2 linked regions of the Diceros bicornis minor genome follow. The protein of the gene in region 1 purifies or fractionates together with the protein of each later gene. This does not show direct contact. Links are inferred from orthologs where the notes say so. Each region holds a gene or a part of one and is shown on either strand. Other genes may lie near its edges.

Region 1 (10,215 bases):
AGAATAGCAGACTGCTAAGAGAAAGAACTTATTTCATGAAAGAAATCTACATTTATTGATTTAGTACCTTCATTCTTTCAAAGAATACTACAGACTTATGTTTATTAGCTTCATTGTTATGAGGCTGAGAAGGAAAGCTTCCCCGATCTACACACAGAGCAAGGCTACAAGGTTCAGAAAGTCTAAATGACACACAGAGGCAGCAGCCAGGCCAGGACCCCAGAAGCCTAAAGTGGCGCTGTTCCCGGCATTGGTACTACCTGCTCTCAGCTCCTGAAAGCAGCACCCTGCACCTCAGGGCAGATCATCTCAGGCTGCACTGAGCTGCGAAGGCCTCCTCCCTCAGCCACACAGCTCCAACTCCAGTTTCTGCAGATTGTCCACTAAACCACCATCTGGCAGTCCCCACTGCTAATGACAACAACCAGAGGGAAAAAGCCAAATGAAAGCCCCTGGGTGTGGCAGGATGGGTGAACCTTATGCCGGAATCCACTGCAATGTCCAGAAATGTCTTTCCTCGAGCCTGTGCTGCTGGATGAATGAGCCCTGACCAACGGGCAGCGTCAACAGCTTCACCCACAGCTCCGCCAATGCCAAATATCTGAAGGAATGCCTTCCAAGTGAAATGAACACATTTAGTAGGCTACCAAATATTTTACCAATTTGCTGCCCACTCTTCTAGCAGATTCACAGGTGGCAAATGTACTAACCCCCCCATAATAAATTATGATTCACTTTGAACAACTGCAGGGTAGTTATTTTCAAAGCTGCCCTGGAGTTGAGTTAGGGGGTGGGGGTATTACGGAGAAATAGAAAGAGAAGTCCCTAAAGTTTACCACAAGGCTGATAATCTGCATTAAAAAAGCTACCTTTCTAGGGTTCAACTGGAAGAGACCTAAAACCTTGGGGTGGATAGAACCTTGGCCTGGGAACCAATGCCAGTGGTCTACAGCCCTGGAAGGCAGGTGTCCTGAAGGCCCAGGAATGAAAAAGCAGACACACTCCACGGCTTTAGAACCAAGGGGCAAAGGGTCCTCATGGGGGACCCATGGCAACAGGGCAACCCCACAGCCAAGGCGCCACTGGAGGGCGGCAGGGGAGTACAGGGAGGCTGCAGGCACCAAGAGAACCCCAGCAAGGGGTGAAATGGCAAGAAAGCTGGGTGAAAAGGAAGGAGGCCACCACTCTGGGGCAGGTGGCTACAAGACAGTCATGCACCTGGGAAGGGCCCCCAAGAGGGTAGATCTAGTTCAGCCCAGTCGCCTGAAGAGGGAAGTGTCTAAAAAAAGTCAGCTGTGACTTTTAAAAAGTCCTTCCCAACATGCTGTCTCCTCAGCCTTCCCCATCTCACTAATATGGCAACTCCATTCTACTTAAAATCACATTCGACCTCTTTCACACCTCACATGGAACCCAGTGGCCAATCCTATTGGGTCCACCTCTAAAATCTACAGATAGAGCAAGTATATAAACCTACAGACGGAGCAGAATTCGACCACCTCACATTTCTACCATTTCCACCCCAGCCCAAGCTGCCATCATCTCTCACCAAAATTACATATGGTCACTCTCTCTTGTGTAGAAATAACCTGGAGGTGGGTTTTATTCCAGAATTACTTACAAGTCTCTGAACTGGTTGGTCTCCCTGCTTCTATGCCTGCCCCTCTCCCCACCCACCCATCTTTTCTCTATACAGTGTTTCAAGTAATCCTTGAAAACTACCAGACAGCTTTCCATGGTTCCCCACCTCACTCAAAGTAAAAGCAAAATCTTATGCGAGTAAAAGCAAAATCCTATGAGACCTGCCCTCAACTGGAACAGACAGAGGTATAGAGAGCCCCCAGGCCTGAAAAGGTCAATCATACAGAAAAACACTAGGGTCCCATCCACAGGTCCTGCTTGGAGTGAGGACCAAGAGCCAGGTGGAATGATGAACATCTCAGAAGATGCCTCTGGCCCAGAGGAAAATGCTTCCCTCCATAACAAGGCTGCACTTACTCCTGTTTGGAATTCCTTCTTAGGATTAATAAACCAATACTGCCAAATACATAGTTAATAATGAAAAGGGATTAATTCAATTAAACAATGCTGGGCATTGTTTTAATTTTTAATTTTTTTTTGTGAGGAAGATCAGCCCTGAGCTAACATCTGATGCCAATCCTCCTCTTTCTTTGCTGAGGAAGGTTGGCCCTGAGCTAACATCCATGCCCATCTTCCTCCACTTTATATGGGAGGCCCACCACAGCACGGCTTGACAAGTGGTGCGTCAGTGAGCCCCTGGGCCCGAACCTGCGAAGGCACGGCCGCCAAAGCAGAAGACGCGCACTTAACCGCTTGCGCCACCACGCCAACCCCCATAATTAGGTCTTTTTACTGGCCTTAGTAGAAATAAACTACTTGGTAGAAACTAAACTCAGTACACAGAAACTGTCAACAAACATGTATTTAATTCCATCGAAGAATGGAAACTTCTACCAAATATAATTAACACGCGTCCTAGTATTCAAACTCGGGAGGTCAGCAATCTTGTCTTTCAAGCCTTTTTCTCTCTGAAGCAAATAATTATATACATACAAGCACCCACGTGGCTCAAATCCAGATCCAACAACTGAGTACATTTCTGATCTCTATTTAGTCTTATCCTGTTGGTTTAGTCAAAACTCCTTTGACACCTTTTAAATTTTATATATAATGATTAAACATGATCTTAATATGCTAAACCTTTAAAAACTATTTTAATCCATTGTTGACTCTGCCCCCTAAATTTCTATTCTGATTGTGTGACTTAAATAAGACCTTTTGTTTTAATGACAGAAGGGTGTGTTCACAGAAAAATAATAATTTCCACCGAGATCAACTAAAAATATCAGGGGGATATATGTATCACCGTTTCCTTCTATCTGAACCGAACATAAAGGGCAACAAATGTTAAGAGAAATCCTAAGTAAATTATAGGTCAAATGAAATACAATCAGGAAATTCAGACAGAGGCCAACATACACAGTTCTAATGGTCAAATTTTAAAGAGCACATTTTTAGGGAACTACACCTGGTACTGAAATCCCAACCCTCTCCCTTGTAACTAAATCTGGAATAATACCCAACTCCAGGTACTTCCACACACCCGAGCCTGCCTGTGGGTATTAAGAAGTATAGTTCTCTTCCAGAAGGCACATGTCTGCCTATCCTAATCATACAAGTCAAACACAACTCCTAACTGGTTCCCACACCCACTGAAAAGGGGAAGGAACTAAAATAGCACGCTGTGGTAGTACTACAGTGCGAGTGCCGCTCTGTGTACACACAGGTTTTAGAGGGACTGCCAGACCTGCCTGGCCTGGGAAGTTTTCTACTACGCAGAAAGGGACACACTGAGAACAGGTTGTCTTTACTAAGCCGGAAGAACTTCCTCCCGCTCCAAACCATCTGGAAGGCTTGAAGAATCCAGCTTTTACAGGCCAATTCAGGTCACAAGGAAGCCCACCCAGAGGGGACTTCTCCGAAAAAACCCTGGCGATCCCGACAAGAGGTGTGGGCGGGGCGGGGCGCGTCCCGGGGTCTAGGGAAGAGAGTGGGCGCCGTGGGCAGGGTGCGGGGTGCTAGCGTTGTCCCCAGGCCGGCCACCTGCCGCGGGACCACCCTCCCGGCCGCCGGGCGGGCTCCCCACCCGCGGCGGATGACACATCGCGGACTTCGTGGCGGGGCGGGGTGCTCAGCACCGCGCCATGTAAGGGAAGGTCTCCGGATGCCTCCTGGGCCGGCCCCCGTACCCGCTCCCCGCCGCTGTCCACGCCGACCACCCCGTCCGTCCCGGCGCCGGGGTCCCTGGCAGGGCGCGCGGGGTGGGCATCACCGAGGAGCCAGGTCGCCCACGCTTACTCACTCGGTGTTGCATCATGCACCACGCCGCGCCTTCAGGGAACCAAAATGGACTCCGGTGAAGGAGACAGCCACATGGGCACCAGCCCCGCGCGCACACCCCCGGGCCCGCCCTGCCCTCGCCCACCCTGGAGGATGCCAGCGCCCCGGGCGCAGGACCCTCGCCGCTCCCGCGCCGCCCTCCCACGGCCCCACGCAGCGCCGGGGTCCCTTCCAAGGTGACCCAGACGCGGGGAGCTGCCCTGGCGCCGGCGGGGGCCGGGCACTCACCGAGCCGGCGGGCGGCAGGATGCCGGCACGACTGTGGATGGACGGACGCACGCGCGGCTGGACTGACGGACGCTCGGACGCAGGCCCGGCGCGGGGAGCCGCAGTGAGAGTGGGAGCTGCGGTTAGCGGATGCCGGCTGGCCGCGTGCCCCGCCAGGCAGTTGACCGGCCGCTCACACCTGCCCGCGCCGACTGAATGGAGCGTGAGGGCGGGCGGGCCCCGGCGCCGGGTTTCATCAGCCGCGCGGCCCGGGCCTGGCCCGCGAGCCCGCCCCCGGGCCCCAGCCCGCGCTGCGTCACCGCCGACCGCCAATGGAAGCGCGGCGCGGCTGCCCGGCGGGCGCGGGGGCGGGGCGGCGCGTCTTCGCGCGCCCGGGCGCCAACCTGGGATCCCCCCGCAGGCGGGCGGCGCCTCCCGGCGTCTTCGCGGTCGCCCCGCCCGCGTGTTGCCATTTCTCCGCCAATCCGAGCCGGCGGCCGCACCGCGTCCTCTGGTCCCCTGCAGGCCTGGCGGGCCGGGGCTAGTGCCGCGGGCTCGGCCGTGCCAAGCCCCGACCAGCGGGTCTCAGCGAGCTGACACCGAGCTCGCGGCCAGTTTTCCTTTCCAAAAATAAAAGATTTGGGAAGCACTTCAAGGGTTTTTAAAAATTATTATAAATCTTCATTTCTTTATCATTGGAGTATTTTATTGCTATTCCCTTGCTTTTAATAAATAATTTATCCTTGCCCCTTGTCAGGAAGGGCCCTGAAGCCTGAATCTACCTGTGCCCCTTGGCCGTGGGACAAGCATACCTGGCCAACGGGCTCGTCAAAGCGGCTTATTTCCGGAGTTACTCTCCCCGAGATGGCCGAGACTTCAGTACCGAATCCCACAGGGCTCACCTCACAAGCTCCCTCTTTGTTGTCTCTCTTTGCTCCAAAAAAAAAAAAAAAAAACCACAGTCTATGGAGATCCAGTGATGTGTGACATGTGAGAGGCGAGCGGGACATAGATTAATTCTGCCAGTCTCCTCCTAACTTTGTAGAAAACAGACAAAACGACAGTACAGTGTCCATGGTCTTTGAATCCTTTCCACACCTCCTACCCCCACCTGATGTTCTTGGTCAGTAAGGGGCTCGTCGTCAGCCACTGGATGTGATCCTCTCTTTTGGAATTACACTAGCTATTTATAGAGCACATAACTGCATGGTACTGGCTTCAGAAAATGTTTTAATGAACGCATAGAAATGTGCTAATATTTGTGAAGCATTTTGAACAGTGTTTGGCATCATAAGTGACTACCTGTACATTGTTTTAAAACAATAAATTTCAGTTTCAATTGTACAGTGATGAAATGATGCTCTCGAGTTGCATTAAGGAGGTCCCCTGTGTTGGGGCTTTTTCTGAATCCCACACAGTCTCCTTTACCCCCTGACACTGCCTTGAAAGGATGTCCCCCTTCTCACAGAGGGAAGCCTGGTGTGATTCAAGGACCACCCACTTTGTCTCTGCACCAGATCTGAATTTGAATCTGAATTCTCCCACTTCATTCCCTGTGTGGTCTTCTGCAAGCTTTTTCACCTCTATTAACCTTATATTCTTATCAGAAGACTATCCTTTAGTGTTTGAAATATGATTATAGGATTTTTTTTTAAAGAGTCTTGGCAGTAAAATAGAATTTAGTAGATTGTAGAGATGCTCGGCTTGGGGAATGCAGAGAAGGAACACAGAGTTAATATTTGTAAATTCTGAGAGCAAATGTTCCAGGCCCTGATGGGTATACGGGTGGAACTTAACCAAGGAGATTTGTAGCACTGTGCTCAGTTTAGCAATCCCACCCAGCAGGCTTCCTCTTCAGAAAGACAATAGCAGACCCTCAGTGACCAGACCCATAAGCAAGCAGCTTCCCAGCAAAAAGGATTCAGTGTGAACCAGGGAAAAAATCATTATGCTCAAGTTCTCAGCAAAAAGTTTTTAAAAAACTGAAAAAAAAACCTGGCTGAATTTTTTAAGTACAGCTAAACTTCAGGCAGTTAAGATTCCCATTGCAGGTCCAGAGGGACCATGAGTGACAGACAACCTCAGAATCAAAGAGCATTAAGCCAAGATTCCAAAGACTATTAAGGAAAGGAGATGCTAGAATTTTGGCCCTAGAGGGCACCATCTAAGGTTACGGTTGACAGACCAAGTCCCAGCCTAGCATGGGAGTGCAAAAAGTGTAGAGCATCAGAGAGTCAGACAGATGTGGTTTTAAACTCTAACTCGACTTTCTGCCCACTGCTGGCGCAGGGAAATTGTCCTCTCTTAGGCACAGTTTCTTCATCTTCAAAATAAGGGTTTTACTACCTACTGGATAGGAATAACTTTATGGTGAGAATGAAAAATATACATTCAGTAAAGGTGGAAAAAAAGAAAAAGAAAAATATGCATAAAGGTGAAACAAAATAGAGAGCCTAGAATTTTTTGTTGCTAGTGCTGTTGAGGCATTTCCGACTCCTAGTGACCCTGTGTACAGCAGAGCGGAACCCTACCCGGTCTTTTTGTGCCATCCTCTCATCTTCCAGGCTCTATATCAAACAATGTCCCACCACTATTCACAGGGTTTTCATGGCCAGTTTTTTCAGAAGTAGGTGGCCAAGTCCTTCCTCCCAGTCTGTCTTAGTCTGGAAGCTCTGCTGAAACCTGTCACCCTGGGTGACCCTGCTGGTATTAGACATACCAGTGGCATAGCTTTCAGCATCATGACAACACGCAGACACCACAGTATGACAGCTGACAAAGACCAGAAACAGACCCACGCAACACACAGTATGACAACCGACAGACAAAGCCCAGAAATAGAGCCACACAATATAGTCAACTGATTTTTGAGGCAAAGGAAAAAGGCAATACAATGGAGAAAGGACAGTCTCTTCAACAAATGGTGCTGAAACAACTGGACATCCACATGCAAAAAAAATGAATCTAGACACAGACCTTACACCTTTCACAAAAGTTAACTGAAAACGAATCATAGACCTAAATGTAAATGCAAAATGAGAAAAATCCTAGAAGATAACATAGGAGAAAATCTAAGTGATCTTTAGGTTTGGCAATGACTTTTTAGATACATCAAAAATATGATCCACAAAAGAAAAAATTGACAAGTTGGACTTCATTAAAATTTAAAACTTCTGCTGTGCAAAAGACACTATTAAGAGGGGCCGGCCCGGTGGCGCAAGCGGTTAAGTGCGCGCGCTCCGCTGCGGCGGCCCGGGGTTCGCTGGTTCGGATCCCGGGCGCGCACCGACGCACTGCTTGGTAAGCCATGCTGTGGCGGCGTCCCATATAAAGTGGAGGAAGATAGGCACAGATGTTAGCCCAGGGCCGTCTTCCTCAGCAAAAAAAAAAGAGGAGGATTGGCGGATGTTAGCTCAGGGCTGATCTCCTCACAAAAAAAAAAAAAAAAAAAAGACACTATTAAGAGAATGAAAAGATAAGCCTCAGACTAGAAGAAAATCTTTGCAAAACACATGCCTGGTAAAGTACTGGTACCCAAAATACACAAAGAACTTTTTTTTTTCTTTTTGTGAGGAAGATCGGCCCTGAGCTAACATCTGCCAATCCTCCTCTTTTGCTAAGGAAGACTGGCCCTGGGCTAACATCCATGCCCATCTTCCTCCACTTTATATGGGATGCCACCACACCATGGCTTGACAAGCGGTGCGTCGGTGTGCACCCGGGATCCGAACCGGCGAACCCCGGGCTGCCACAGCAGAGCGCACACACTTAACCACTTGCGCCACCAGGCCAACCCCTGCAAAGAACTCTTAAAACTCAACAATAAGAAAACAAACAACCCAACTTTTAAAATGGGCAAAAGACCTGAACAGACACCTCATCAAGGAAGACATATAGATGGCAAATAAGCATATAAAAAGATATTTAACATCATATGTCATTAGGGAATTGCAAATTAAAACAATGAGATACCACTGCACACCCATTGAATAGCTAAAATCCAAAACAGCAACACCACCAAATGCTGTCGAGGATGTGGAGCAACAGGAACTCTTGACTCATTGCTGGTGGAAATGCAAAATGGTACAGTTACTTTGGAAGACAGTTTGGCAATGTCTTACAAAACTAAACATAGTCTTACTGTACAATCCAGCAATTACACTCCTTGGTAGTTACCCAAATGAATTGTGTCCACACAAAAACCTACACATGAACGTTTATAGCAGCTTTAGTCCTGATTGCCAAAATTTGGAAGCAACCAAGATGTCTTTCAATAGGTGAATGGATAAAAAAACTGTGGTACAGGGGCTGGCACCATGGCCTAGTGGTTAAGTTCAGCGGGCTCTGCTTTGACGGCCCAGGTTCAGTTCCCCGGTGTAGACCTACACCACGCCTCGGTGGCCAAGCTGTGGCACCACATACAAAATAGAGGAAGATTGGCAGCAGATGTTAGCTCAGGGCAAATCTTCCTCAGCAAAAAAATAAATAAATAAATACAATAAAATCCCTTAAAAAAAAACAACTACAACTATGGTACACCCAGACAATGAAATAGAGTTTGTCAATAAAAAGAAATGCGCTATTGAGCCATGAAGAGATATGGAGGAACCTTAAATGCATACTAACATTCTATACATACATATGTACATGTATACTATATATAATCAGAATGGAAACAAAAAAATGTTGTCCCTAGAAGGAGTTTTAATTCTTTTGTATACTTACCTCGATATTCTACACTGAAAATTTACAATAAACTCAATAGATGTTATTAAAAATCAGAATTGTAGGGGCCGGCCCAGTGGCGTAGCAGTTAAGTGTGCGCGCTCTGCTTCATCGGCCTGAGGTTTGCAGGTTCGGATCCCGGGCACACACCGATGCACCACTTGTCAAGCCATGCTATGGCGGCATCCCATATAAGGTAGAGGAAGATGGGCACAGATGTTAGCCCAGGGCCAATCTTCCTCGGCAAAAAAAAAAAAAAAAAAGAGGAGGATTGGCATCCGATGTTAGCTCAGGGCTGATCTTTCTCACCCAAAAAAAAAAAAAAAAAAAATCAGAATTGTAGCCAAAAAATAAAATAAAATTCTACCTCCAGCCCCATCCTCCACCAAAAATCTCTGTAGCCAAAGAACACCCATGCCTTCATCCTCAAGTCCCACTGTCTCTTGTGATTTGTCAAGAAAGAAGCTCAGGCCTGGCATGTAACTATTGAGAAGTCTTTTAGGCCATTAGCACCAGGTAACCAACTAACCAGGTTACCAGGGCATGAGCTCTGAAAAGATGATGATGTCCTCTCTTCCCCATGAGCATTCAAAATAAAAATATTAAAATAATATGAGGAAGTCCAACCGTTTCCAATTTTTTTCTGTACTGCCCTGATTCCCTTCAATGCTTTTTTCTTTAATATCACATTTTTTCCAACAAAATCTTTCAGGGCCCGTGTTTAGCTAGAGCCCTACGCACGGGCTTGATTTGCCAGGCCAGCACTCCAGCACTGACTACCCTGAGCCCTGGTCAGAGTCACCGCTGAGAGAGGAATCTTCTTCACTCACCTCCCCGGTTTAACTTTGCTTCAAATTTGAAGGCCAATGGTATATATTTCCTACTGGGTTTCCATAGTGTTTGGAAGTTTTTTGTGCTTCATGAAAAAGTTTTTAACTAATTTTCCGTACCTTTGCTGTCTCCTTTAACACATGAATGCTATATCCATTGATGTTTAAATTTAGGAGAACATTCTGGAATATATAGTGTGTTGTGGACTGAACTGGGTCCCCCTAAAATTCATATGTTGAAGCCTTAACCCCCAGTACCTCAGAATGTGGCTGTATTTGGACATAGGGCCGTTAAAGAGGTAATTAAGTTAAATAAGGCTAATCCAATATGACTAGTATCTTTATAAGAAAAGGAAATTGGGGCATACAGAGAGACACCAGACACACATGTGCCCAGAGGAAGGGCCATGTGAGGACACAGTGAGAAGGCGACTATCTACAAGCCAAGGGGCGAGGCCTCAAAGGAAACTAAAGCTGCCAACAATTTGATTTTGGACTTCCAGCCTCCAGAACTGTGAGGAAATAAATCTCT
Region 2 (10,679 bases), on another chromosome or scaffold:
ATACTGCGTTCAAGCTGCTGGATCTCACTGTGCCGGGCCGAGATCTCATTTAGGGCCTGTCGAGTTACCTGTGTGTCCTTCAGTATCTGGGGAGTGGACAGGAGTGGAGGGACAGGTCATCAGGAAACCAGCAGCAGGTAAGAAGTACCTGCTGAGCTCTGGGGCAGTCCTCAGGCCTAGAACTGGGGCCAGGGCCCTGAAGAGTAACTCTAGGCATGCTAATTTGTTCCCTCCTGGGCCTTAGTATTCCCTCAATCAAAAAGGGCCAGGGATCAGAGAGGATGGGAGGCCTGGGAGAGGGAAGCTGGCTGTGGGCACTCACATTCGACACAAACACCTCACTCTGCCCACTGTCCAGCATGTGCTCCAGCTCCTCATCAGACACCATTCCAGCATTTGCTGTGAAGGAAAAGGCCAGGCTCAGAGCGGGGGTCAGGTCACCTGACCCTGTGGGCCGGGCACCACAACTCACTGATCTTCAGCTGCCTCCGAATCCGCTCCACATTCTTCTCCCGGTACTCGGACTGCATCGAGTTGCACTTGTTGATGAGCTCCACGAATTGCTGGGACAGGATCCCATGCTACGGATGGAGAACACAGGCTAGGTACCCCTGGGAGGATCCCTGCCTGGTTTGGGCCTCAGCATCCCCACGGCTACAGTGAGCAAACAGCATGAGCCGGTATAGGGGCTGCCGCCTTAACCACCTTATGATAACCTTGAAAGGCTCCCGCATTTCTCTCAGAGTAAAACCCAAAGCCCTTCCCAGGGCCTACAAGGCCCTCCATGACCTGCCCCTCCCCCCACTTCCCCTCTGGCCTTACCTCCTCCCATTCTTGCCTCCCTCCCTCCCTCCACCACAGTGGGCTCCTTACTCCTCCCTGAACAAAGCACACCCCCACCTCAGGCCTTTGCACTCACTGTTCCTTCGGCCTGGAATGCTCGGGCCCCACAAAGGCCTTTGAGTCTTTGTTCCAATGTCACTTTCTAAATGAAGTTTTCTTCACCTTATTGAAATTGCAACCTGCCTTCTCCCAGCGCTCTCAATCCCTCTTCTCCTGCTCTTTTTTCCTGAATACTTACTCTGTTCTAAAATAATTTACTTATTTATTTTGGTGATTGTCTCACTCAATAAATCTGTTGAATGCTGGCGGAACACCCGTTTTATTGCTTAGCTGGGAGGTGTGCTAGTGGGCCTGGAGGTCAGCCTGCCGCCCAGATTACAGGTCCACCTGGGCCGTCAGCCTCTCACACTGACGACCACTGACGACCATCACAGGCTCCCCCTGAAACGGCTTCTCGCCTTGTCCATTCCCCTATTGCCTTAAATGTGCTCATTGGACTACCTTCCTCAGAGACACATCTGCTATCCTGGCTTCAGCTGTATCCTTTCAAGATGCCCAAACTGCTCCATATTCAATCTTGTGCTGAACTCTGGGCCCACCTACTCCAACTCTGACCTCCATAAACTCCAAACCACTCCTCACTGGGCATCCAGAGGGGGCTGGTCACATCACCTCAAATCTCCTTACTAAGATGTGATTCAGTGACCTTCCCTCCCCCAGGGAAGTTCCTCTTCTGGACTTCTTGACTTCTGCCCATGGGGCAGAGGATGTCCCTGTCACATGGGCAGGAAACCTCCCAGTCATTTATGACTGCTCCCTCTTCTTCCCTGAGCAGAGCCATTAGCTACCAAGTCCTACCTGAGTAATGTCTTTGTCACCTATTCAAGTTTAACTCCCCATCTTGGCTCCTAGAAAGCATGTCTACCCACAGCCAAGCCCAGGTCATGTCTGGAGACTCAACAACTTCTCATTGAATGGAGGAGAAGGCAGGGTGTTAGAATGGATTAGGAGTGAGGAGACCTGGGTTTTGGACTTGGGTAAGTCCTTTCTCTCTCTAAGCCTCAGTTTCCCCATCTGGAAAATCATCAGGTTGGACTTGATAATAAGAAGGAAGGGCCCTTCCTTCTTACTTCTGCCATCTAATGATCTATAAAACACTGAAATGACCTAGTTCTGGGAATAACAAACCCACCTGGGTTTTTCTCATTCTCGTGTTGACCGAGGTGTAATTCTCATCACCTTCTTCCTTCTGGGGCTCTATGGCTGTGGGAAGACACAAGGGTATTGCTGGGGGAGGGGTTTCACCTGTGGCTTCTGAAAATCATTTAGGGACCAGGACACAAGGCCAGGGCCATACCCCAGCCATACAAAAGAGAGGTGTTTATCTCCATAGGATTGGGGGTGGGGATATAATTTATCATAAAATGACTAATTCTGAACTTTTGACAAGAGAAAAGTTATATTTTTCTTTGCAATACATCAGAGAATTCTCACAGGTACGCAGAGGCCTCCTAACAAAACCCCCATCTGCCTGCCCAAGGAATGCACACTGGGCAGCAAAAATTGTAGGAGTAAATGGTTTCATTACAAATAAAGCCTCAAGAGGCAGGCATGTGCCATGGAAAGTACTATAGAGGGGCGGCCCAGTGGCACAGCGGTTGGGTTCGTGCATTCTGCTTTGGCGGCCTGGGCTTCACCAGTTCAGATCCTGGGCGTGGACCTACTCACAGCTCATCAAGCCATGCTGAGGTGGCATCCCACATAGAAGAACTAGAACGACTTACAACTAGGATATACAACTATGTACTGGGGGCTTTCAGGAGAAAAAAGAAAAAAAATGGGGGAAGATTGGCAACAGATGTTGGCTCAGGGCCAATCTTCCTCAAAAAAAAAAAAAAAAAGAGAGAAAGTACTGTAGACTGGAAGCCAGGAGACAGAGATTCTAGATCTAGGCCTGCTGTGTGACCTGGATATATCTCTGGCTTCTCTGGGCCACACACTCCCCATAAGCCAGGAGCTGGGCAGGAACAGAGGGAAGGATCTGTCTGAGGTCCTAGGAGCTCACCCTTCAGCTCCGCGCGGATCTCCCTCCCCAGCTGTTTGATCTCGTCGCGCAGGTTCTGCAAGTCCTGCTTCATACCTGAACAAAAGAAAGCCATGACTCCCAAACAGCATCCTATACCTCAACAAATCTTCCTGGCCACCACCTGCCTGGAACTGCAATCCCCACAATCCCTCTGGCTGAGCGTGCGTTCTGCACCCGGGGTTTCACTCACCCTCCTCGGGAAGGGGCGTGGCCAGGATGGTGACCTGCTGCTTCTCCAACACTCGGACTTTATTCTCCAGCTTGACAATAGCCTGCTGAATTGTCCGGACCTGGGGAGGGTGACCGAGAGGGCTGAAGGAGATATGGGGGTACTCCAGACCGCGCTGCTCCTCAGGTCTTCCAGTTCCCTCGTGAATCCAGGCCGGGACTCCAGGCTCTTACCTTCTGGAAGAACTCATCGTCCGGGCTCCCCAACCGCGCCGTGCCCGGGTGTACCACCAGCGCGACCCGCTCCTTGTTCTCATCGTCCGAGCTGTCATCCCCCTGCCAGGGCCAGGGTCACTGGCATCACTTCCTTGCTGTAGCTCTCTTCCCGCAGAACTCACGGGCTTCCGGGTCTTTCCTTCCTAGCCCTCAGCCACCCCTCCCTGCCCCAAAGACCAGGAGTCCTGCATTTCAGCCAGATCCCACCCCGTCCGCCCGTCCCCAACCCTGCTGCCCCGACTTCTCACCTGCCTCAGCTCGTGGGTCCTGTCCCGCATGGCGGCCGGAGCTCTCTTTCCCCGGCGCCGGAGCCCCGAGGGCCTCAAGATTCTAAGTTTGGAACTCCGGTACCCCACTGGCACTCTGACACTCCCCTCCGCCCTCACCCCGCGGACCCCAAAACCTCCCACGAGCCTCCAGAGGCTCTGTCCCTGGCACCATCCACAGTCAATGGGAAGGAGGCGACCTCGGGGACCCCCAAGTTTCCACAGGTTGGAATTCCCTTTTCTTTCCCCCCTCCCGCCCCGGTGGCCTCGGCCCCGCCCCCCTGGGATGATTCAGGGCATGCGCACGGGGTCGCGTCTCTTCCCCGCCCGAGGGAGAGGCAGAGGTCGGAAACTGTAGCGCCCCGAACGGAAGCAAAACTGCCAGGACGTGAGAACCCTCCCCCTCGACCGGAACTGTCGCATCTTTCAACGGAAATCTGCTTGCCAAAAGGGGTGGGAATGCGTCATTTGTACGTAATGTGAGAGGCCCTGCATCTCACATCACCCCATAGTGCCCCCCTGCGTCACGTGATCGACCGGGTCCCAGCCTCGCGGACCACAGAACGTGAGCCTTTGACTGTCACGTGTCTTGGCTCTGTCAACTCTGTATCTGAAACATCCTTCTCCCCACGACGTCCGCGGCACTCCGGCGCCCGAGCTACGCCCTTCCAGCCCACCGAGGCGGGGAGGGGGCGCTATCCCCAGAGACCTGTTGAGGCAGTGGGTGGTAGGACCCTTGCTGAATTCAGCTTTATTTCTTTGGGGCCCAGGGCCGTGGGCAGACGACTTAGAATTTGGGGCTGTCAGCATTATGGGACCTTGAAATTCAGAAAATAATAAGATCCAGCGTCAGAGAATTGCAGGGTTTTGTAGGCAGAGAATCTGGGGGTGGGAAGTGACCTCACCCAAGGCAGAAATCTCTTTTTCCGCATACTCCTGGCACAGCTTCCCACAGGTGGGCGGCTGGCGCCCTGCTTGAACATTGCAGTCCTGCTGCACTCATCACCTTCTGAGCAGCGAGACCATTTCAGGGCAGCTCAAGCTAAGAAAAATGTATTATATTGAGCAGTCTGCCACTTACACCTCCCTCCCACCCCCGCCCGCCCCCACCTTGCACCTAGGTCTACCCTCTGGAGTCCACAAAACATTCTGCCCACATTCCATATTATAGCGGACTGTGAGCTCTTGAGGTCAGGGCATGACTGTCTTGTTCTTACCTGAATCGCCAGCACCTAGTTCAGTACCCAGCACATAATGGGCCCTCAATAAATATTTGTGGACAGAATTTTAGCCTTTCATGCATCTGAAGATAAAGCTCATAGTTCCCTAGTCTTCTGTTTCAGGCTTCAGGCTCTCACGGTGACACTCCCCTAACCCTGGCCCTCTAGAGGTTCATTCATTCAGTGGATGTTTATTGGGCGTTTACTATGGGCCAGACACTGTTCTAGGGGCCGGAGATACATCAAGGGCTAAGAGGCAAAAATGCCTTGCCCTTGTGGAGCTTACATTCTTTTTTTTTTTTTTTTTTAATTTTTATTTATTTATTTGTTTTCCCCCCAAAGCTCCAGGAGATAGTTGTATGTCATAGTTGCACATCCTTCTAGTTGCTGTATGTGGGACGCGGCCTCAGCATGGCCGGAGAAGCGGTGCGTTAGTGCGCGCCCGGGATCCAAACCCAGGCCGCCAGCAGCAGAGCGCATGCACTTAACCGCTAAGCCACGGGGCCAGCCCCTGGAGTTTACATTCTATAGCAAGAGTCCCCAAGACTACTCAGTGAGTCTCGGCATAGCCAGAATGGATATCAAGTCTTCTGGACCCCGGGGCTCTTTCCAGGGTGCTTATATGAAGATTCAAGCAAGGGAAGGAATAGCCCCTCTCTAGTATGCCCTGGTAAGGAAAACTAGATTCCTGTGACTGAGTTGCTGTGGACTTCTGGAAAGTCACTTATCTCTGGGCTTTGATCCCCCATCTACACAATAGGTGGCAGTAGGAGGATGGGGAGATAATCTTGATGGGTATTCCCTGCTCTAATGTTCAGTGATATGAGGTTGGAAACTGTCAAGTGCTGTCTGATTCTATGTGAAGACTTTGATCCTTCTCCTCTTCCCTTTAGAATCCAGCTCGCCTGGGTTGGGAATGAAGGAATGAGGATGTGCTGCCCTGATCAACCCACAGGAGGAATAAAGAATGAAGGGTTCAGGAGGCCAAACCCTGCCCCGTGGAGTCCCCTGGAGATCATGAGGAAGGATTTCTCTGCTCCTGGATCTTCCATGTTAGCCTCTGCCTCCCTGCCCTCCTCCCTTCTTTCTCTCTGTCTCTGTCTGTCTCTCTCATACTCTGAGTGGTACAGTGGAAGGGCTTTGGACATCTGACTCCTAGTCCTGGGGGTGATCTTGAATAATTCATTGCTCCTCTGTGGGACTTAATTTCTTCATTTGACAACTTGGTCTGGTAATTTCTGTCTTGCCTAGGGTAAGAACTGAACAATATCAAGTGAGGTTAAGAAGAATTTGGAAGGGTCTTGTAAACTGTGGAGAGTTCCTCCCTCTGTGAGCTTTCACTACTGTGGGTTCCAGCTCTCTCTGGGCCTACGAGTCCCACCTGCCTCTCTCTGTTTCTTAGCATTTTGATGACTTGCCTTCTTGGTTCCCAGCTGTGATCTGGAGTTCTTGGTGCCTTTGTTAAATTTCCCAGGACTATGATATTCATTTTATTTGTGGTCTCTGGGTAGGATCGCAGGGCTTTGCGATGGTGGCTTAAGGCCACAGGAGGGCAGGCTGAGAGCCTCATGGAGGGGTGTGTGGAGGGGCCAGGGAGCAGGGGCCATCTAGGGAGAATGGCTCTGGGGATAGAGCTTTCCAGAGCTGAGCCCTTATCTCTGTCTCATAGTCCTTTTTTACTCCTCTCAGGCCCTCAGAGCAGCTTTGAAGTGTGTGTTAAGTATATTGGGTTTTGCATGTGTGGGTGTTGGGGGGGGGTGGCGGTGTGTATTTTCTTTTCAATCTGTCTGAAGGTTGGGCCCTACCTGTTCCTGAGGCATGGCAGCCTGTCCCGTCCCCTCCACCTATAGGTCCATCCTATTAACACTGGAGCCAGATGACCTGGGTTGGAATCCCAGCTCATTCAACTACTATATAACTCTATAAGACAAGTTACTTAACCTCTTCATGCCTCAGTTCCCTCATTTGAAAAATAGGACGGTAACAGTACCAACCTCATAGGGTTGCTGTAAGGATTAAATGAGATGATATATGTAAAGTGAATAGAACAGTGCCTGGTACGGAATAAGTGCTATATAAGTGTTTGATGCTATTATATGACAGAAATGATGATGATTTTTACCACCAGGGTGTCCGCAGCCCCAGTGTCTCTGCCAGAGATTCCACTCTGCTGCCTGTCCAGGCTCTTCCTTTCCTTTTCCATCTCCTGAGCCCCACTGTGCACCAGGTCCTAGGCTAGCGGTCCTGCACATCTCTCATGTCTTCACTTGGATCTGACACACCTTCTATTTTGCTTATTTATTTTATATATTGTCTATCTTCACCCGTCCTGTCCACCCTGCTAGAAGCTAAGCTCCATGAGGGCAGGGATTTTCACCTGCATCATTCACTGCTGTGTCCCCAGCACCTACAACAGTGCCTGGCACATAGTAGCTGGTCAATAAACATTCATGAATGAATGAAATTATTTCTTTTTAGTTTAATACTTACATAACATTTACTCTGTGCCATGCACCAATGTAAGCAGGTTATAGATATTTACTCATTTAACCCTCATATCAATTCTATGAGATTGGTACTATTATTGTCCTCATTTTACAAAGGAGGAAACTGAGGCACAGAGATGTTAAGTAACTTGCCAAAAGTTACACACTAGTAAATGAGAGAGCCGGAATTTGAACCCAGAGAGTGGAGGTCCAGAGTCTATGCTCTTTCTTAACCACTATACTGTGACCCAAGGAAAACACTAGCCAGGACTGGCTTCCCATGTTCCACCCACCTTTGGGGACTTGCTGCCAACTATTGATGCCCTGCTTTGGATCATCTAGGGGAAGGAGGGGGCAGACTTTGCAAGACTGAGCCTTCTCCCCTCCCCTGTCACGGGGTCTCTCTTCCACACCTGCTGGGTTGGGGCTGACTGCTGGAGAGGTTGTTGGTCTTCCTCCCTTGCCCTGTTTGCTGTGTCCCCGGGAGCCAAAGATGTCCATGCATGTCTCACGTAAAGGGCATCTGTTCATCCTACAAGTGTCTCTGAGGCTATTTTTGTGCCAAGCCCCAAAGGCTACAGAGATGAAGCCCCCACAACTCTCTCCTCGTGATGTGTTTTGGGCCTGACCTTGATCACTCCCTAGAGCTCCATCTGAGAACCTCTCCTCTTCAAACTCTACACACACTCTTGTGGCTTTAACTGGCATCCATATGCTGGCTCCCAATTCCATGTCTCCAGTCCCAAATTTTCTTCTCTGCTCCAGACCCCTGAATCCATTTGCCTCCTGGACACCCTGTCCTGGAGGTCCCACAGGCATCTTAAACTCAACGTCTCCCAAACAGGATGCATTATCTCCCCCTGAGAATCTCCTAAATCAGCTTTTGTTCCTCCTGTTTCCTCTCCACATGGGTGACACCAGGTGACCCATACCATAACCTTGACCTTGACCTTCATGCGAAAGGTGATGGGTCACACAATTTGTCAGGATAAACTCCATAAAAATACTAGAAGAAAATATGGGCAAAATCCTTTATAAGTCTCGGAGTGAGGAAGGCCTTTCCAACTGCAACTCAAAATTCAGAAGCTATAAAATGAAAGATTAATACATTTGTCTACATGAAAAAATTTTGCATGGTAAAAACATCAAAGCAAAATCAAGATAAACAGCAAACTGGGAAAAAATATTTGCAGTTCTTATCATATACAAAGGGCTAATCTCCTTATTATTTAAAGAGCTCCCACATATTGATAAGAAAGACCAACAGTTCAACAAAAAATGGGCAAAGAACATGACAGATCACAAAAAAGAAAATACATAAGAACTAAACACATATGCAGATGTTCAACTTCGCACAATAAGAGAAATGAAAATGAAGACGATACTGAAATACCACTTTTTATTTACTGCATGAGCAAAAATCTACATTTGACGATTCGCTTTTTTGGCAAGACTGTGGGGAAACAGGGACTTTCACCCATTGTTGGTGAGACTGCAAAATGATACAACCCAGACAATATTTATCAAAATTATAAATGCATATACACTTTGAACCAGCAATCCCACTTCTGAAAATCTATCTGAATGGTATTCCTGCTGTATCAGTTAGCTACTGCTTCATAAGAAACCACCTCAAAACTCACTGGTGTAAAATAACAATGATTCATTGTTTCTCCAGATTCTGAGGATGGCCGGGTGGTTTCTCTGCTGGTCTTACCTTAGATTACTTAGATGGCAGCAGTCAGCTGGCACCTTGGCTGGAGCTGGATGGCCCACCGTGGCCTCTCTCACACTGGCATGCCTGGGACCTTAACCCTAATGGCCGGGTTGGCTGGGGTGGCTAAGCCACTCTCTCCATGTGGTATTTCACCTTGGGTTTCGTCATAGCATAGTGGCCTCAGGGTTCCCAGAGGGTGAGAGCAGAAGCTGCCAGGTCTCTGGAGACTCTGCTCAGAAGTTGCACAACATGACTTCTGCCGTATTCTATTAGTCAAAGCAAGTCACGGTCCATACGAGCTGCAAAGGGTGGAGAAATAGAATTTTAATTCATCTTATCTGCACCTGTATGAAATGACACAAACATCAATGTTATTCATTGGATATTGTTTGCAATGGATTAGAAACTTGTCCATTAGCAGGTATGCAGATGTCAAAAAGAATGAAGATGCTCATTATGCATAAATATGAAAATGCTTCAAAATATATTGTTAGTTAAATATCAAGGTGTAGAATGAGTATATCACGCTACTGTTGTATAAGAAAAAAAGTGTGTGTGTGTGTGTGTATCCTCATAAAGAAATCCTGGAAAGTTACATAAACTAATAAAAGTGGTTCCCTATGGGTGGTTTGTGAGAACAAGGTGAGTACAATTGTTAGAATAAGAATTTTCACTGTAAACCTTTTATATTATTTAGATTTTTGAACCATGTGAAAGTATTACCTATTTTAAGTAATTATATCAAAGGAAGAATGGTAATGGGATACTTTTTTTTTTGGTGAAGAAGATCAGCCCTGAGCTAACATCCATTGCCAGTATTCCTCTTTGTGCTGAGGAAGATTAGCCCTGAGCTAACATCTGTACCCATCTTCCTCTATTTTGTATATGGGGTGCCACCACAGCATGGCTTGATGAACAGTGTGTAGGTCCGCGCCCGGGATCCAAACCCGTGAACCACAGGCCACCAAAGCAGAGCGCATGAACTTAACCACTACGCCACTAGGCTGGCCCCAAGGGATACTTTTTAAGCAAAGAGATCTGCCTCAGTCAGTTTGGGCTGCTGTAACAAAATACCATAGACTGGAAAGCTAAAACAACAGATATTTATTTCTCATGGTTCTGGAGGCTGGGAAGTCCAAGATCAAGGTGCCAGTGGGTACAGTTCTTAGTAAGGGCTCTCTTCCTGGCTTGCAGATGGCTGCCTTCTTGCTGTGTCCTCACATGGCAGAAAGAGGAAGCTCTGGTGTCTCTTCCTTTTCTTGTAAGGGCACTAATCCCATCAGGGGCTCCACCCTCATGACCTCATCTAAACCTGGTTACCTCCCAAGGACCCCACCTCTTGATACCATTACTTTGGGGGTTAGGGCTTCAACATATGAATTTGGGGGGGACACAAACATTCAGCCCGTAACAGAATACTATGATCAAACCTTCACTTTATGACGATCCCTCTGGTGGCCATGTGCAGGGCCACCACAGATGGCTGTGCTGGCGTGCACCACACGAGGCACACACGAGAGGGGCACCAACCACAAATCAAATCGTAGACATCATATATTTGAATATTTATTACAATGATTATTTGACATATGGAGGTAGAGTGTCATGAGGAAGCGA

Evidence for each region. Proteins that work in one complex are often made in the same cells at the same time.
Region 2: the proteins of SLC7A1 (region 1) and STX4 purify together in Homo sapiens (co-immunoprecipitation; 3 studies listed by BioGRID and IntAct, counting the BioPlex papers as one, with this or other methods). This does not show direct contact. The link is inferred for Diceros bicornis minor from reciprocal best matches to the Homo sapiens genes SLC7A1 and STX4.

What each region holds. Positions count from the first base shown.
Region 1 is NC_080748.1:12,664,764-12,674,978, forward strand, and holds the start of SLC7A1 (high affinity cationic amino acid transporter 1), read right to left. Parts: upstream 4,345-10,215; 5' UTR 4,150-4,344; intron 1-4,149. UniProt on the Homo sapiens protein: High-affinity, low capacity permease involved in the transport of the cationic amino acids (arginine, lysine and ornithine) in non-hepatic tissues.
Region 2 is NC_080765.1:20,990,761-21,001,439, forward strand, and holds the start of STX4 (syntaxin-4), read right to left. Parts: upstream 3,876-10,679; 5' UTR 3,652-3,875; coding exon 3,622-3,651; intron 3,434-3,621; coding exon 3,332-3,433; intron 3,242-3,331; coding exon of another isoform or gene 3,220-3,241; coding exon 3,120-3,219; intron 2,984-3,119; coding exon 2,909-2,983; intron 2,107-2,908; coding exon 2,036-2,106; intron 582-2,035; coding exon 473-581; intron 400-472; coding exon 323-399; intron 87-322; coding exon 1-86. UniProt on the Homo sapiens protein: Plasma membrane t-SNARE that mediates docking of transport vesicles. Necessary for the translocation of SLC2A4 from intracellular vesicles to the plasma membrane.